Linked DNA regions of Nothobranchius furzeri. The protein of the gene in region 1 purifies or fractionates together with the protein of each later gene. This does not show direct contact. Links are inferred from orthologs where the notes say so. Each region holds a gene or a part of one and is shown on either strand. Other genes may lie near its edges.

The links. Proteins that work in one complex are often made in the same cells at the same time.
Region 2: the proteins of ccnf (region 1) and cdk1 purify together in Homo sapiens (affinity purification with mass spectrometry; 3 studies listed by BioGRID, with this or other methods). This does not show direct contact. The link is inferred for Nothobranchius furzeri from reciprocal best matches to the Homo sapiens genes CCNF and CDK1.
Region 3: the proteins of ccnf (region 1) and nusap1 purify together in Homo sapiens (affinity purification with mass spectrometry; 3 studies listed by BioGRID, with this or other methods). This does not show direct contact. The link is inferred for Nothobranchius furzeri from reciprocal best matches to the Homo sapiens genes CCNF and NUSAP1.

What each region holds. Positions count from the first base shown.
Region 1 is NC_091752.1:57,977,180-57,982,246, forward strand, and holds the end of ccnf (cyclin-F), read left to right. Parts: coding exon 1-89; intron 90-185; coding exon 186-273; intron 274-1,891; coding exon 1,892-1,991; intron 1,992-2,087; coding exon 2,088-2,224; intron 2,225-2,494; coding exon 2,495-2,673; intron 2,674-2,905; coding exon 2,906-3,354; 3' UTR 3,355-3,537; downstream 3,538-5,067. UniProt on the Homo sapiens protein: Substrate recognition component of a SCF (SKP1-CUL1-F-box protein) E3 ubiquitin-protein ligase complex which mediates the ubiquitination and subsequent proteasomal degradation of target proteins.
Region 2 is NC_091752.1:60,127,448-60,133,125, reverse strand, and holds the start of cdk1 (cyclin-dependent kinase 1), read right to left. Parts: upstream 3,532-5,678; 5' UTR 3,436-3,531; exon of another isoform or gene 3,431-3,435; intron 3,376-3,430; exon of another isoform or gene 3,312-3,375; intron 3,085-3,311; 5' UTR 3,079-3,084; coding exon 3,042-3,078; intron 2,816-3,041; coding exon 2,659-2,815; intron 1-2,658. UniProt on the Homo sapiens protein: Plays a key role in the control of the eukaryotic cell cycle by modulating the centrosome cycle as well as mitotic onset; promotes G2-M transition via association with multiple interphase cyclins.
Region 3 is NC_091758.1:19,032,333-19,038,250, forward strand, and holds nusap1 (nucleolar and spindle-associated protein 1), read right to left. Parts: upstream 3,532-5,918; 5' UTR 3,419-3,531; coding exon 3,344-3,418; intron 3,249-3,343; coding exon 3,186-3,248; intron 3,100-3,185; coding exon 2,941-3,099; intron 2,851-2,940; coding exon 2,706-2,850; intron 2,624-2,705; coding exon 2,531-2,623; intron 2,429-2,530; coding exon 2,316-2,428; intron 2,193-2,315; coding exon 2,020-2,192; intron 1,932-2,019; coding exon 1,768-1,931; intron 1,278-1,767; coding exon 1,167-1,277; intron 1,096-1,166; coding exon 990-1,095; intron 912-989; coding exon 824-911; 3' UTR 602-823; downstream 1-601. Other genes in the region: ndufaf1 (complex I intermediate-associated protein 30, mitochondrial), read left to right, coding at 141-281; oip5 (protein Mis18-beta), read left to right, coding at 3,776-4,031, 4,200-4,266. UniProt on the Homo sapiens protein: Microtubule-associated protein with the capacity to bundle and stabilize microtubules. May associate with chromosomes and promote the organization of mitotic spindle microtubules around them.

The sequences.
Region 1 (5,067 bases):
GTCGCTGCTCTACTCCGCTCTAGCCTCTCCTCCCCCTGCCAAACTGGCCTGTGCCACACTACTCCTCACACGAGCGCTGCATCACTATGGTAATAACGCCCACTGAGACACAGCTGTCGCAAAACCAACTATTTACAGGTTGAGTTTTGAGTAGAGTTTATGCTCATATTGATTTGTGCCTGCAGGTCCCGTCTGGCCCTCCCTGTTGTGTGATCACACCGGCTTTACCAAACAGGACCTCATTCCTCTCTCTGTGCTGCTTTATGTCAAGTGGTAAGTGTGTGTGTGTGTGTGTGTGTGTGTGTACTGACTGACAGGAAGTGACTGTGCTCTCATCAGAGGTTGCCTTTAATCATTAACCACAGCAGCTATATAATAACCAGATGACTCTGCCGCCACAGAATAAAGCGGAGTTTCCTCGTGTCGGAGTGGCTACGGGAGCCTTCTTCCATCCAGAAAAGCAGAAATTCATAAACTCTGAGTTTGTAGGCAGAGATAAAGTCACATGTTTCAGGATTTATATGTTAATGCTGCAGCTTTACGGCTGATGTAAAGAGGTTTCAGGTGGTTTTAATTTAAACATGACATACTGATTTCATTAAATCCCATTGTAATTTGTGATTGGGCTGTTAACAGCCAATACTAATCAGATAACTGAGTCTCATCTCCGCAATAGTCTTTGTAAAAAAATAAAAATAAAAACATCAACAACACACCTTTTGAAACTGAATTAGCACCGATTCTGAATTTGTGGACCGATACCGGTTTGTAATTCTTGTACAGCTGATTCAGATTTAGGCTGGTTCTGATTTAACTCTGAGAAGAAGAAGTGTTTATTCCCAAATGAAGTCAGGAAGTAAAAACATTCACAGGGAGGATCTGTAACTTGGGAGTACTGGTGAGTTCACAGACCAGGAATAACGGTTTTTTTTAATTGCATAAAACCAAACAACAACAAACAAACCGTTTTTATGATTCAGTCGATCTTGAAGCCAGGTTTTTGGAGCATCTCTTTTCTTGCTCACTAACTATTGTTTCTGTCATTTCTGTGTCTCTCTTGTTTTCTTTTTTCATTCCATCTTAACCATAGTTTTTATTTTATCTTGAATCTTTCTTTATTTTTTATAGAGCTTGTGATTTTGAACTTGAAAGGTGTTATATATAAAACTTCCTTCTGTTTAAATCAAACGCACATCTGAATGAATCAAATATTCATGTTTTCCTTTTTTTTATTTCAGTCACATTTCATAAACCAGAGTTTAGTTCAAATACTCCACTAGTGGAAATAATAATAATAGAAAAACCAATAAATGCAGTTTGGATGACCTGTAGATATGACATCACCTCTATTGATTGTTTTGTTTCTCCACATTTGTATTGATCACCGATTGGGTAATAAAAATATATTTTCCATCCACAAAACTACAAATAAGATCTGAGAAAACACTCTGCTCCGTGTTGTGTTTTATGACTGCACTGTGACTCACACACACACGCACACACAAGTACCTTCTCACTGCTCTTTTCTCTGTAAAACCGATGAGAGCTATTGATCGGGCATGTGCCGGGCTGTTTTCAGCATGCACGTATTGATTAAGAAAAAGATGCTGAGAACGTCCGGTTACTAAAAAGAAAGGTCGTTAGGGATTTAAAGGTGGCATAAAACACAGATCATAAGAACAGTAGGAGGCACCACTCGATGTGAGTCACACAAACGTGAGTCACTTTGACGGACGAGCAATATGTCGGCAAACTAATTCTCAAATTGACAAGTAGCAAGATTTGTCGTGGAGACTTGATTATATCTGTGCAGCAAGCAAAGTGGATCAAACTCAATTTTTAAAAAAAAATTTATTTATTTTTTTTCCCCCACTTCTCCATTCTACCTCAGTTTCAGTGAAGATGTTCCCAAAGATCACAGACACGTGTCTCTGGCTGGTGTTGTGCAGCGATTTGAAGACGAGGCCTACCAGCAAATCAGCAAAGAAAAGGTAAAAGGATCAAACATTCCTCATTCTTTTTCTGCCTGTCTATATTGTTCTCAAATCCAAACGCTCATTGATTTTTTATTTTTTTATCTCTTTAAGGTGATGGATTTTAAAGAGCTCTGTCAGATCTTGGAGATTCCTGAAATTGAGCCTCAGATGGAACCTCCCAGTCCCACCAGTGGTCAACCAGCAGACATTCACACCTTCCTGGCTTCCCCGTCAAGCACCAGTAAGAGGTAGGTCAGCCGCCGACACACAGGCGACCTCGTGTTGGTGCTGGAGGATGTGGGACGGAGGAAAAGGTTTGTTACGAGACCAGACTCGCCAACAGGCCAGTGACGGCTGCCCCTGCCAGGTTTCTTGCTCATTTAGCGGTCCTGGTTGTCTCCTGAGCACCACCAGTGACTCGTGAACCGACTTGTCCAGAAGGCGTTTTTCTTTGTGCCGTCTGCCAGAAGCTCCTGTGACTCGCTGTAACCCTCCACTTGTCCACGTTCTCCCTGCAGGAGACGAGATGACAGCGTTCAGGACCACAGGGACAGTTTGGTGGCCACGCCCACAGCAGAGCTGTCCAATCAGGAGGAGACGCTGTTGGGAGACATCCTGGACTGGAGTCTGGACTCTTCCAGCTCTGGTTATGAGGGTGATCAAGAGGAAGAAAGCGATGGAGAGAAAGATGTGGATTGTGAGTGACAAGAACGAGGCTGAGAGTGTTTATTCCAACGGGATTATTAAAAGTCTTCCAGGCAATGAATATAAATGTTCTAATCTCCATGTAAAGTAGTAGAATAATGCATGAGCTACTCTCTGACTCGGCAGTTTTATTGTCCATCTTTATAAATGAAGACTAAATGTAGAGAAATAAAATTTGCTGTGCATTGTTTTTATGTATCTCATTTTTAATGTCTCTTCAACAGCTTCCATGATATCCATCAAACTGCACTCACTGGCTGGTGCTGATGATGGACGCGAACACTGCCGAGCTCTGTCCAGTGATGAAGACAGCTTCTGTGAAGTAGAAGTGAGCAAGGGTCACCAAGGTGAAGAAGCCCTCTCCGTGTCTGCAGACCCTCATAGTTCAGGGTACTCATCCGTCCAGAGCGTTAGCCCCTCGTCCACATGCTCCTCCTCCTCCTTCATGCATTTTGCATTTAGGACCTTTACCACCTCTCTGGGCGTGGCCTCCACTAACGCCCAGCCAGGTTTCCGCCTGTTGGTGCCCATGCAGAGGCCCAAAGGCACCTTCGCCAAACAAGTGAAGAGGAAGAACATTGCAGCTCATAGTGGAGGTGAAGTGGAACGAGACGATGATGACGACTTGGAAAGGGAAGGGTTTTCTGCCCGTGCTGGGTTTCTAAGCCTGTAGGAGGCGATATTTTTACGACTCACTCCGTTTCAAACCCGTCTTCACCAGCTGTCTCTCACTTAGTTCGTCAACCGCCAGAAGATCAATAGACTGGCTTTAAAGACTTGAAAGGGAAAACAAACACAATTAGGGATTGCTTGGAAACTCGTCGTTCTACCACATTTCATTTCCATGATTACAGGCGCGGAGCGGTTGGAAATCGCTCCCGTGAACTCGCCGTCATCTCTGAAACCCCCTGGAATATGACTTGATTGTTGCTCGGGAGCCTGGTGCTTTTCAGCCTGCTACAACAGCCTAGCTGAGATCACATTACTTAGCTGTAAAAGAAATAAAAACCACCGATTTACTGTTTCAGGTGGGAAAGAAAGTGTTGTTAGGGAAAAAAAAAAGCTGTTATAGTTTTTGTGACTATTAATATCGTCAAAGCCTTTGATATGCACTGTCTGTACAGGACAACCTTGTATTTGGTGAATTTCATCATAAGGCTACTACTGTGATCTAGTTGGTGAAAGTTTGCATCTGAAGAGGAGGCCCTCTTGCTTTTGTTTTGTCTTACATGTTTGCCAAAGGTGCAGAGGTGTCATTGGTCTTTCCCGTGGCCTCTGTCCAATCACACACAGCTGTGAAATGCATCACTTTGAGTCGGCAGCAGTCCCAACCGCACCACTCTGCTGTTGGTGACCTGTGGCACGTTAAACCCAACAAGAGCCACACACAGGTGTGTGTGTGTGTGTGTTCACTAATCAAGAAGCTGCAACATAAAACTCCAACAGACTGATGTGGTTTTAATTTTCCTCCAGAATCAAGTCGGGCACTTTTTTCATCACGGGTGTGCAATTCAGATGAAATGTAACATGCTTCTGAACGTTGGGCACGGAGGGACTTTTAATGAATTTGTCTTTTTTCTGCCTTGGACACCATCACAGTTCACACACTAGAGGGAAAAGATGACCCAACGGGCTTGTACGTGTACTGTATGCCCCATTGAGGACACAAAATAGTAAATAATGTTTACATGACTGTGACTGACTGTAAATACATTCTTGTAAACTGTTACTTCTGTCTGGTTGTTTTTGTTTCATGTACATAGTGCTTTATGAATGAATGAGAAGAAGTCAAACCAACATGCCACTACAACTTGAAATTGTGTTTGCTTCATCCCAAAAGGGCAGTTTTTAGCTTTTAGGTTGTTTTTTTTTTACACTGCAGTGTTTATTTGGGTGTGAATGTGTATTTGTATGTTTATTTTGTACGAAGTTCAAATAAACAAAAACAATTCCTGTCTTTGTGTCTTGTTTTTGAACAGTGTTTTTCTTGTTTTGCTTTTAAAATATTAAAGGTCATCTGAATGAGTGCAAAAGACAGGTTTTAAATGACTTCACTTACTGCGCGAGGAAAGCTATCCAACCCAACCCGGTTCAGTGAAAAATGTCCCTAACCTTCATATCTGGTTGTAACTATATTGTAATTGCAAAATTACTTTTGTGATGACTGGTACTAAGTCTTACTACTCTATGAAGGAACTGTAGCCCCAGTCATTCCAGGATGTTAAAGCCTGAAATATACAATAACAATCAGGAAATTTTTAAAAACTTAAATCTTTTTAGTGAGTGTGAATAAAACAGTTTTAGTTACTAAAGCCATTTTAGTAAGTAAACAATAATAACAAGTCTGACACTCGTTTTCTGCAGTGTTTATATCTCCCACAAGGTG
Region 2 (5,678 bases), about 2.2 Mb from region 1:
TCGCCTCTGTCAGTGCGCCCCAGGGCAGCTGTGGCTACATCGTAGCTCATTCCCACCAGCGTATGAATGTGTGTGTGAATGACTGATTGTGTTGTAAAGTGCCTTGGGGGGTTCCAGGACTCTAGAAGGTGCTATATCAAATACAGTCCATTTAGTTGTTTCATTTTTAGAACACAATAAGCCTCGCATCAAAGCACTGAGCCTAAAGCCTGATTTATGCTTCTCCGTCTGCGTCAGTGCGGAGACACGCAACGCCATTATCCGTCCTTGCGTAGGGCTCCGGCAGGCACGCAAGTACGTACGGAGTCGAGCCCACTTTTTTAAACATCCGTCGAACGAGACGGATTACGCAAGCTTGTGATTGGTCAGGACGCCGCTGTTGTTTACAGCACCACCATTGCAAAGAGAGCCGAGGATAACTAGCGGCAGACACGGAGAAGCTTGAAGAATACCTCACGAAAAAACTCTAAAAATATGAACGTTTAATCCTCCCGTGACTGGAGGAGTGAAACGATGCGCAGCAAGCGTTTTATTTGTGGACGGAAATGACAGGAAACGTGGGTTTAGAGGTGGTGAGTGCATGAAGTGGTGGGAGAATGAGAGACAAATATGTCCGTGTTAAAAGTCTCTTATATACACAAAAAACACAATATAAACACACTATCTTGGACTGGATACATGACAGGATACCACAGAACAGCGCTGCACCTTCTGTGGTCCTGCCGGGCAATTGCTTTGCAACACTCTCCAGGAGACGGAGAAGTATGAGAGCAAAACGCTTCCGTCAATCCGTGCGTGTCTGTCCCTTGCGGAGCTGACGGAGAAGCATAAACCAGGCTTAACACAACATGGCGCAGCAAACTGAGCTGAGACCAGCAACAGGAGTGTCAGTCAGCCATGACACTCCTGCTTGCATCTGACTCCTCATTCATCTTGTAAAATTTGGTCAAAAATGTTGTCAATTTTAGTCAAAAGACAAAATTTAAATTAAAACTTCTGGTCAAAATTAACACTATTAAGGAGTAGAAAACATCCTCAGTAAAATATTCTGGGCAACAGTGAAGTCTGTTCTAAAGTAAAAGCAAATTAAATGCCGTTTTTGAACATTGGATGAACAAAGGCTTCCAAACCATCTGGACATCTCCTGTGACTTATTATCAACAAATTTCCCTCAAATGTTTTAGCTATTGCCTCACTGAGTAATGAACGGAGTATTGAAGGCCTACACAGCCATCAGACCCACGGATTAGATGATCCAGAGGCTCAGAAACAGGATAAACCTCCAACCTTATTTTAACGTAAAAAAGGCAGCACAGCACCATTTTACCTGCAGTTATTCACTAGTGGATCAAAACTTAACTTTCATTAGCAAAATAACCTATAAAAATGATTCAATGAATCAAAGAAAGCAGGAAGAAATATTACTTCTGTTTGTACATTTTTACTTCAGTTCAAACTATTTAGAATTCTGTGTTTACATCACATTTAGCTTGTATTTTATTTAAAATATCTTCAGCATTATTCATTTTAGGGGATTTTTTTTTGGTGTTGCCTAATTTGGGAAAATATTCACAGCATAATTATTTGAAAAGATTTTAGTTTTTAGGAAGTATGATCATTTATGACAAAACTGCTTACACTATGAAAAACTGACATTACTGCCAAGGCTCCTGGCAGGACACAGGGCCCGGGAGTCAACAGGAGCAGTTTAGGTGTTCCCGTGTGCTCAGAAAGGTTACTGATCCATTCAAAAAGCAATGAAAGGTCAAATCATTCACACGAAGTACATTTGTTGTTAATTATCTGAAAATATCTGATTAATAAAAAAATGTTTTTTTTTTGTTTTAAAACAGGAATGTCACAATTTTCCTTTGACTTTTGTTACAATATGGATGTATTTAAATACAGAGAAAACAGCTTGTGAATACAATGCATGTTAATATAGTAAGTATAGCATTTTTAAAATAAGCATATTCACACATGGAAAGTATCAATGTGAATAATTGTATGGCGGTAGCTCTTCGGTACTTTCATTGTGTAAAAGTAGCTCCAAAAGGTTAGAGACCCCGGCCTTAGATAGAAAACTTTTTTTATTAGTTGGCCCATTTTATGTGAATCACTTTGTGATGAGTGCTACATAAATAAAATTGACTTGCTTGACATAATAAACTGAACTTGAACGTTTACTCTGTGAAGTGCTCTGAGACGACCCTTGATGTGATTTGGTGATATTAATAAACTGAATTGAAATTTTACAGCCCTTCCACCAAATATCAGATGATTGGTTGTTTCATACAAACAGCCTGAGGTTTCAGCAGTATCACAAAAAGTCACGTGTACACAGCGTCAGCTGTTGTAGGTCTGTAGAAAAACACTAAACTAGTGTTTTAGTGAAGTTCTGTGAGATTTTCAAACCAGTTGTGACGTTACAGGTGTGATGTAAGATGGTAAAATTATGGAAAATGGAAAAAAAAGGAGGAATTAGATTCAGCATTCCTGGGACAAGCTGAAAACTACACTGGTACTTTTAAGGAGGGGAGTGGAAAACATCTGCCAGAGCCCCAGCTGGATTACAGCGAGAAAACTAAAGACTCCAACAAAAAGTGAGAGCAAAACCTTGAAAAAACTAAAGTTTTAGATGAAGGAGCTTTTCCTTACCGTACAACATTGGGATGTTTGAGTTCCTGTAGTAGAGACACCTCTCTGACAGCAGTGCTGGGAACACCCTCCTCCTCACTCTCGAGACGGATCTTCTTCATAGCCACAATCTGCCCTGTGGCCTTGTGCCTGCCCTTATACACGACCCCATAGGTGCCTGCACGCAACCGTTCAGCAGAAGAAATAATCATACATGTGGACACAACCCTCCTGTGCACACATCATACCGGGCCATTCATGTTTCACAAATCAGAAACGCAAAGATACATATCACACAAAGTACAATATGTCCAGGAACTGATTTAAACTCATACTTTGTGAGAACTTTTTTTTTAATCACAACGATGCAAAAAAAATCTGGAACGTTTTTGAAGTAGACCCACCTTCTCCAATTTTCTCTATTTTGACATAATCGTCCATCTTTGCCTAAAGGAAAAAAGAGAAGACGTGTTTTATTGTTATTTCAGCTCCAGCCGACCTATTATACTTCCTGGTAAATATTTTCCTGACACTATCGGAGCTAAAGGTAGCTGGACTCCTCATCCTTGTGTGTAACAATTAAATCAAGAGACTGACTTCGGTGGTTTACGGCTAACTAGACTAGCTTTTAAAACGGCTTCCTCTGCTTTATCCACCAACGTCAGCCTACCTACCACTAAAAGGTAAAAGGTGAAGCAGCACTACTTTTTAACCGCCGTCACACTTCCTAGCCAGAACACGTTTGTTCAATCTGAAGATGGATAAATGCTGTTTGGTAAGAAAAATATCCAACCTTACTTTGTGTCGTTTCTGATTCGGGTTGCTCACGAGCTGACTGCAGTTGACTAACTCTTTTGAATAGACCGCAGTGCAGTGGCAGTTCAAAATGCACCAATAAGATACGCTGATACTATTCAAACACACCAATCAGAAATAAAGACATTTCGTTGTGGGTTGAGCGGGAGACAAGGCGCCTACGTAGCAACTACACGTTTAAACGTTTAGATGCGTTTACGGGTAGTAGGATATTACAAATACGTGTAAAATTCTAAACACTAGCATGGTAGTTGATGTCATTATCATCTTGGATGAACCGTGTTTAATGTTGATGTTTGTCAACCAAGCAATAAGCTTCGGATGTTCTATTCCTCTGGCCTTATCTTCTTCTAAGTAGACAAAATGAAAGAAATAACGGCTGTGTTTTGTTTGGCACCTGTTTATACTGATTGGTTGGTTCCAACTCTTGAGTTTTGAGCAGGTTTTGAGGGATAAAAAATTTTAAAAAAGGAGAGAGGGAGAAACATATACTATTTAAAAATAGTTAGATACCTGCTATGGGTTTTTGAATTTGTAGTATGATCCTGCTTTATAGTTTACATGGGTCTGTTCCAATTTTGATAACTCAGTGTTAGGTTTTGGCTTGTGAGTTCAAGTTTTGCACATTTCTCAACTTTTCACATAACTTAATACAACTACTGTTCAAGTAGTTTTGTTCTTCTGTGGTCTAGATGTCTGATTTCCGTTTGTCGTGTTTTTCTCTACATGTACGGGGTGTTCGAGATTTAACCAAAAGAAAAGCTTTATTTTTTATTTTGTATGCAGCAAAATAAGGATGTCTATTTTTTTACAGGAGACTCATCCCTCTTCAAAAGATGTTACATTTTGGCATAATCAATGGGTGGGGGGAGGCTATTTTTTTCTCATGGTACTAATTTTTCAGGGGGTGTTTTAATTTTATTTCATCCTAAATTTAATGGTGAAGTTATAGACACCGAGGTTTCAGAAGACGGCAGATGGATTCTGTTGGTCATTAGATGTGGAGATAATTTTTTTATTTTAGTAAATGTTTATGGCTTTAAATCTAGGGTTTCTAACACCACGCTCCTCAACTCTTTATCTGATAAAAATCCTCATGGAATTGAACAAATTTCCTTCAGCATTTGTGGTTGTTGGCGGTGATTTTAACGAAGCTCCAAATTTATTTTCAGATAGATTTCCTGCAAAAGGTAGTCCAGATAATTTTAACCCTGTTATTTATGATTTCTGTGGTAAACTTTCCTTACTAGATGCCCTGAGAATTTTACACCTTTTGGAAAATAACCTCTTTACTTGGTTTAAAACAGACTTATCTCAAAAATCGCGTATAGATTTGTGGCTAATCTCTGATAATTTAGCTCCCTGGGTTCGAAGCTGTAATATTGCTATTGCTCCCTTAACTGATCATGCTGGGATAGATATATTTTTATCAAATTTAAGATCCACTAATTGTAGCAAACCTGGATATTGGAAATTAAACTATTCCTTGCTACAATAAAATGATTACTGCTTGGGCATTGAAAAAATTGCTACTAAATTCAATTCAATGTCTGAAATTACACCTACCATAAAATGGGAGCTTTTCAAATTTGAATGTCAGCGCTTCTCAATGCGCTTTGGAAAGCAACAAATAAGAGAGCAGAATAAAGCTTATACTGATTGTTTAAAAGAGTTTAATGAAATTTTAAGTATACATGTGTGCGTTTGCACTCATTAAGGGGAAAATTAGACCTTTATTTCCAGAAAAAGGCAAGGGGAGCTTTTAAAAGGTCTCGGGCTAGATGGTTGGAACACGGAGAAAAAAACTCATCCTTCTTTTTAATCTGGAAAAAAAACGTGGAAAGGCAAAAAACATCTACTTTATATATTAATAACAATCTCTCAAAAGATGAAAATGAAATTTCTTCCTTTATCTCTAACTTTTATCAGAAGCTGGGTCCCGGGTCGCTGGGTCCCGGGCTCGGCCGGCTGGTGGGTAGGAGGCTGCGGGTGGGCCTGTGGGCTTGCCACTGATATCCGCTGGGACTCTGCCGGCTGCTGGTTGTGGCCCCCTGGGGCAATCCATTGTGCCTCTCAAAGGGGGCAGGGGCTTTTCTGGTCGCAGTCTCCCTGGGGTCCCTGTGCTCTGGGGCAGCTCCTGGCTCTCTGGGACTTTGAGCTTCCTCCATCTCTTACACATCTTTGCGGGGTAGATCTGTGGCCCCTCACACTCTCTATTGGACACT
Region 3 (5,918 bases), on another chromosome or scaffold:
TAAAATCACAACAAAATACCAAAGACAAGAAAATAACGGACACACACGAGAACTGTACTTCATGTACCATGACCTGCAGCTGGCATATTGAATATAATTGTCTTTCTGAGATTTATTTAGACTTTGGCTTATATTTTCAGATTAATACCATCGGGTTCACCCTGGGAGACAAAGCAGACGGCCCTTTTCAGCTTGAGATTGATTTTATTGGCGTCTGCAAAGATTACGCTCACACAGAGGACTTCGCTTACGAGATGTACAAGAGGAACCCAACAGCTTAGGGGCCACCACAACGCAGCGTTTAAACCGTTAAGCAGCCAATTAAATACAGATGTGTGGAAATTCCTCGTCTTCACTTTTTTTTTTTTTTGCATTTCTGGTCAATTTTAAAACACAAATCGGTTAAGGGGATCAAACGGTTGTTGCTGTTGATCTTTTACAAGTTAAACAGACACTCTTGCTGCTTCTTAATTTTCCCGTTTAGTTTAAATGACTTCTCTCAGTAAAACAGCAAAGTGATTTCCATGTGAGAGTTTTTTGTTGTTTTATTGTAAAAGCAATAATAAAAGCATTCAAGAGACATTTTATTAAAGCACAACAAATCTTTTAGGTCACCATTTTAATCCAAATATTCATCTCAAAATGGAAAACAATAAGTAAAAGTTTTTACTACAAAAGGATAAAAATGATTATTATAAACAAACAAATCTACAAGCTGAGTAAAGCAGACTGAATCCATGTTCTTACAACTGGCTCAGGAGAGCACGGATGTCTAAATTATTTACATGAGAACAGGAAGCTTGAGAAAAATGCAAAAGCGTTTCTATTCCATGACCAGGCCTCTCCTCGCTCCGAGCAGTTTTGTTTTCTTCTGCTTCCGGTCCTCTGCTAGTATTGCCCTCCGGTCGTCCCTGTAAACACGACACGGATCAGCCTCAGGAGGCGCTTTACAGGCAGATTGTTGTGATGAGAATTTCTCTCAGGCTCACCTGGACTGCACCTTGTGTTGTTTGTAACTTTCCTGACGCGAATTGGAGATCAGAGATTTGTTTGCAGATGCATTTTCTTTAGCATCTCCAAATGGCTTCAGTTTGCCTGCAAAAAAGGAAGGAAGCATCAGTGTCTCAGAACAACACAACTTACGGTCTTTGAGGACAGTTCCGCACCTTTGTGGGGTTTGTAGTTGAGCGGACGCGACAGACTGGCCTTCAGATCAAAGGTCGGCTTCTTTTGTGTTCCGGGTGTGGTTGAGACGTCACCAGTAAAAACAAACAGTTCTTTAATGGAGACAAACCAGATTGGTTAGATTTATTTTGCATGTTCGCACTAGAGGCTGACAGATATATAAAATTTTTTCTATATCGGCCGAAATTATTTTTAAAAGCCAATAAAAACATTTTTTAAAATCAGGCACCTGTGTGGCCTACCGCCGCTACTACTAGACTGAAGAGAGAACCCGAACGACCCCCAACACACTGCTTTAAAAAAAATAAAAATGTTTTGAGTTTGTTTAATATTTGAAGTTCAATAAATATTAAGAGATTTATTGACTTATTTAATTTATATTGCACACAGTGAGCGTTAGGTTGTCTTTCACAAGCAATATGCTGCCAAATCACATATATAAACCTTAATAATCGGTTTTAGATATCAGCCATCGGCATCAAAATTCTTTGTAAATCTATCGGCCTAAAAAAAAAAACATGTCGGTAAGGCCTCTAGTTAACACATCAAATTTAAATTATCCCAAATGGTGGCGATGAGTACCTGAAGTTTTTTGGGGAGACAAAGTAGACGTAATGACAACATGTGGCTTCTTTGCTTTGGTGGTCTGGCTTTGAGGGGTGCTGGAAGGTCTCTGGAGCGACATGCGTGCCGGGGTCTTCACCAAAGACCTCTTAAACTCGTTGTCACATGTAGCTTCTGAGAATCTGAACAAGTTGGTAGAGCGTCACATGAAACACACTTATCTGTGTTTGCTATAACAATGACTGTAGCAATGATCGACAGAAGACGCACCGAACATTGATCCTACGCGTAGAAATAACAGACGGTCTGAATGGAAGGTCGTCTTTCCCAGCACGTTTGTTTTGAAGAGCTTTACTGACTGGCAGCAAAGTGTGTCTGGGCTTTTCTGCAGCTGGTCTCTTATTGAGCTGGGCTGGGCTGAACATGGAGGCACGAGTCGTGTTCTGTCAAACACAAACCCACACATAAGCTCTGAAACGTGTCCAGCTTTGACTTCAGATTAGGATGGAAAACAATGTAGAAAGACCAACTTAAACATTTGTTCTGATGTTAGGAAGACTTAATACCTTCAGATCTTTGGCTGAAGATCTGGTGGTCTCCATCTGCTTTGTTTTGCGCTGAACATAGGTGTCAATGGACTCCATTTTGTTGAACTGCGCCTCATGGATTTTCTTAAAATCTAATTTAGAGATAAAATTGACAAACAGTAAAACAAATTCAAGGATTAAATATGCTGACCGTGTTTACGCAAGTCTGGAGAAAGGAAATAAAGCAAACTCACTAGGTGTGGTGGGCTTCAACAGAGTCTTGTTCATCTGCTGGGAGCCTCTGTAGCGGGGAATTTTGCCAGGTTTCACCACTTTTGGTACTTTTCCTGAACAAATATGATTTTATGAGTCAAACTGCTTCTCAAAGCAAAAATAAATCTAGTCGCAGGTTTGAAGAAGCTCTCAAACCTGTTGATTGAGCCGTTTTCTCCTCTTTAGTATCAGGGTGCTGCTGGTCAGTCTCAGTAGTTTGAGGTTCTCCATGACAGGACAGCTTTCTTTTCTTGCTACCCTGTGAAGTGGGGGTGCTGCAGACACTTGGCTTGTCACCACCCTGAAAAGACAAACAGTCTTACACCTGGTAGGGTTACAGACGGTTACGTGCTGTTAAACACAACCAGTGGCCTTTTTAATGACGTCAGACCTCTGCAGCACTGGGAGTCTTAGCACCACACACACTGGAAGTGTCAGAAAGCCTTCTCTTGGAGCGGTTTCCTTTACCCCGACGTGTGTTTACAAAGACAGGGACAGCGCTGTCTTCTGCTACACTTTTGTGTTCAGGGACACCAACACTGCATCGACCCTGGGGCAGAAACACAACGATACGCAGACATTCAATTTACATTAAAACAATACTTTTAAAATAATACTGCAGCAGCAGTTACCTACCTGCACGTCTGCGTTCTTCTCTTCGTGGTAATGCTCTTTTATAGCTTTCAGGAGTTTATCAGCCTGCGTATGAGTAAATAAAACGTGATTGATTTAGCCGATGTTAGCTAACAGTCCTCTACCGTTACGCTAAAGACACGTAAAAGTAACTTCCTTACCTTCCCGTTTGCTTTCAGCCCAAGCTCCTTCGCAAGACTTCGCAAATCCGCATATTTCATGGAGTCCAAATCCATGTTACTACGGTGGTTTACTATGCTTTATAAAATCACGATGTCTCCGTTTTCTTTCTTCTTCTGCTTCTCATTCGCGCCCCGACGGTTAAAACTCCTTCCTATTCAAAACAAGACCGTGAGAGCGATTTGATTGGCTCTTATTTTTAACCAGATGTGCCCCATAGCCAATCAAAACCAAGATGGTCAAACGCCTCTACTTAAATCTATCCTTTTTTTTTGTTAAACTGGTGATTAATAGTTATTATTTTAGCATATTGTTAAAAGTTTAAAATTACAGCTTTGTTGTGTTAATGTTTCTCATTTTCTTGCGTATATGTGTCTTGGTGTTGTGTCTAAACCCACACCGCGGTGGCAGTAATGTGCCAAGCTAACTTCAGCGCGCGGAAATTAGAAGAACAAAACTTAAAATCGTCCGTTGGTGGTTCTGGTTCTCTGGGTGACATGGAATTTGACGACAGCGTCTTAAATAAACGACTCAACAATATGGTCATTACCACGGATGCAGATGACAGACAAGCGCTGACTTTTCACTGTCAGCAGTGCAACACTGTCCTGGGAGACTCCTTTAGCGTCTGTGGAGAAGTAGAACGTCTGGACTCCATCATGTGTCTAAGTAAGGGTTACCTCATTGATGTTATTGTGGTAAACATATTATATGTACCTTAAATTTCCTCTTAAAATGTTTTTGTTTTACTTGTTGAAATAGTTTCTGGTTTGTTCTTTTATAATAGGCTTCACTACTGTTACATCCCATAATAATCAGTATTTTTGGTCCCTTCAGAAGTAACCAGTGATGTGATTGTTGGTGATGCAGAAGAGCCCGGGCATAAAGGAGAGCTGGATAACAGGTGAGTTAGCTTTAGGTGTACAGATTAATGTTCTATGGGGTGCCAAACTGTCGCAATGTAACAGCAGTACTTGGATTATGTCGACTGTCATAAAAGGGAGCAACTGAGAGTTAATTTTAAAAAGTCATGTCATTCATACATTTTTAAAAGGCTTAGTTTTCAGCTAACAAGCTAAATATTTAAAATGAGGTAAACATTTATTTTACAAATTTTTCATTTGGAAACTAAATATTTAGATCAGACATAAGTATTTATTTTCTAAGTAAATGTTTAATTTACTAAAATTATATTTAGCACCAAGCTAAGTATTTAGGTCATACTTAAATATGTATTTCTCAAAATAAATATTTAGGTCAGGTATTTTAAATAATTTACTAACTAAATATTTAGCTCCAAACTAAATATTTAATTTACTAACTAAATATTAAGCTAAAAAATAGATATTTAGGTCAGACATATACAAAAAAGGATTGGCGCCCCTGAAAAGTTAAAGAAAAAAGAAGGTGAAAGTGAATTTCACTTTTTTTTTCAGAAGTTAAAAAGTCAGAATTATGAGAATAAAGAAAACGAATGAATGATGAATGAAAAATAAACAAAATGTTTATCCTACTAAATATTTAGTTTTTAAAATAATTTAAAACAGTTAGCTTTTTAACTACATATTTAGTTGAGAAATGGGACATTTATGAAATGTATGAATGACATGGTGGAAAATATGACTTGGAAAAATCAACTCCCAGATAAAACAAACAAGTTTTAAGAAAAAAAAAGAAAGATAGATATGAAATATATACACAAATAAATCCTTACTGAATGCAGTGACCTACAAACAACAGTAGTAATGTTTTTCAAGTTACATTGGATTTATCGCACCAGTTCAAGAGTTTGTTTCTTCTATTTATTGTCCCGACAGCTGTGGGGAAGAAGCTGACCCTCAGTCAGCTGGTTTTCGCTCTTGTGGCTTTGTAGCACCTGCTGAATTAAAAAGCTGTAGTGACTGGGGTGGGAGGGGCCTTTGATGATGTTTTGGGCCCTGCTGATGTAGAGTTTATTGTTAATTTATGTTTTCTGTTCCACACCAACAGGTAATATTTACCAGAAGTTGGTCTCAAATCAGAGTTTCACACCCCGAACATTCCCAGGTGGAACACCATATGAAATCTATGCAGGATCTGTTTTCCAAAGCGGTTTGGGATGCATACCTTTAAAAGAATTATAATGACTACTGTATGAAAAATGTTTAAAGTTAGTTTTTCATTTTTATCTGATAATTTACAACAAGCAGATAAAAGCAAAACCAGGTTCTGTAAAATCGATGAGTAGAAAAGGTCTGCTGTATTCTGAGGTTTGCTGAATTGAGACGATTCTAGGTTGAACCTGTGAGGCAAAAATACAGTATCTCCAATTAACTTATTAAAAATATGCCAATAAAAATAATCTTTATAATTTTTATACATAAAGATGTGAACTGAATCAAAAAAGCAAATGTTGAAAGGAATACCCTGTTGATCATTTTATTATCAATCATAAATAAAATCAATGCACATTATTTAGGTTTAAGTTGCATTTTACTATTAAATTCTGCCTCTGTTACCTGTTATTTTTTATGTACACGGTGTTTTTCTTTCGTTTTTTTTTTTTTACTTGATCTC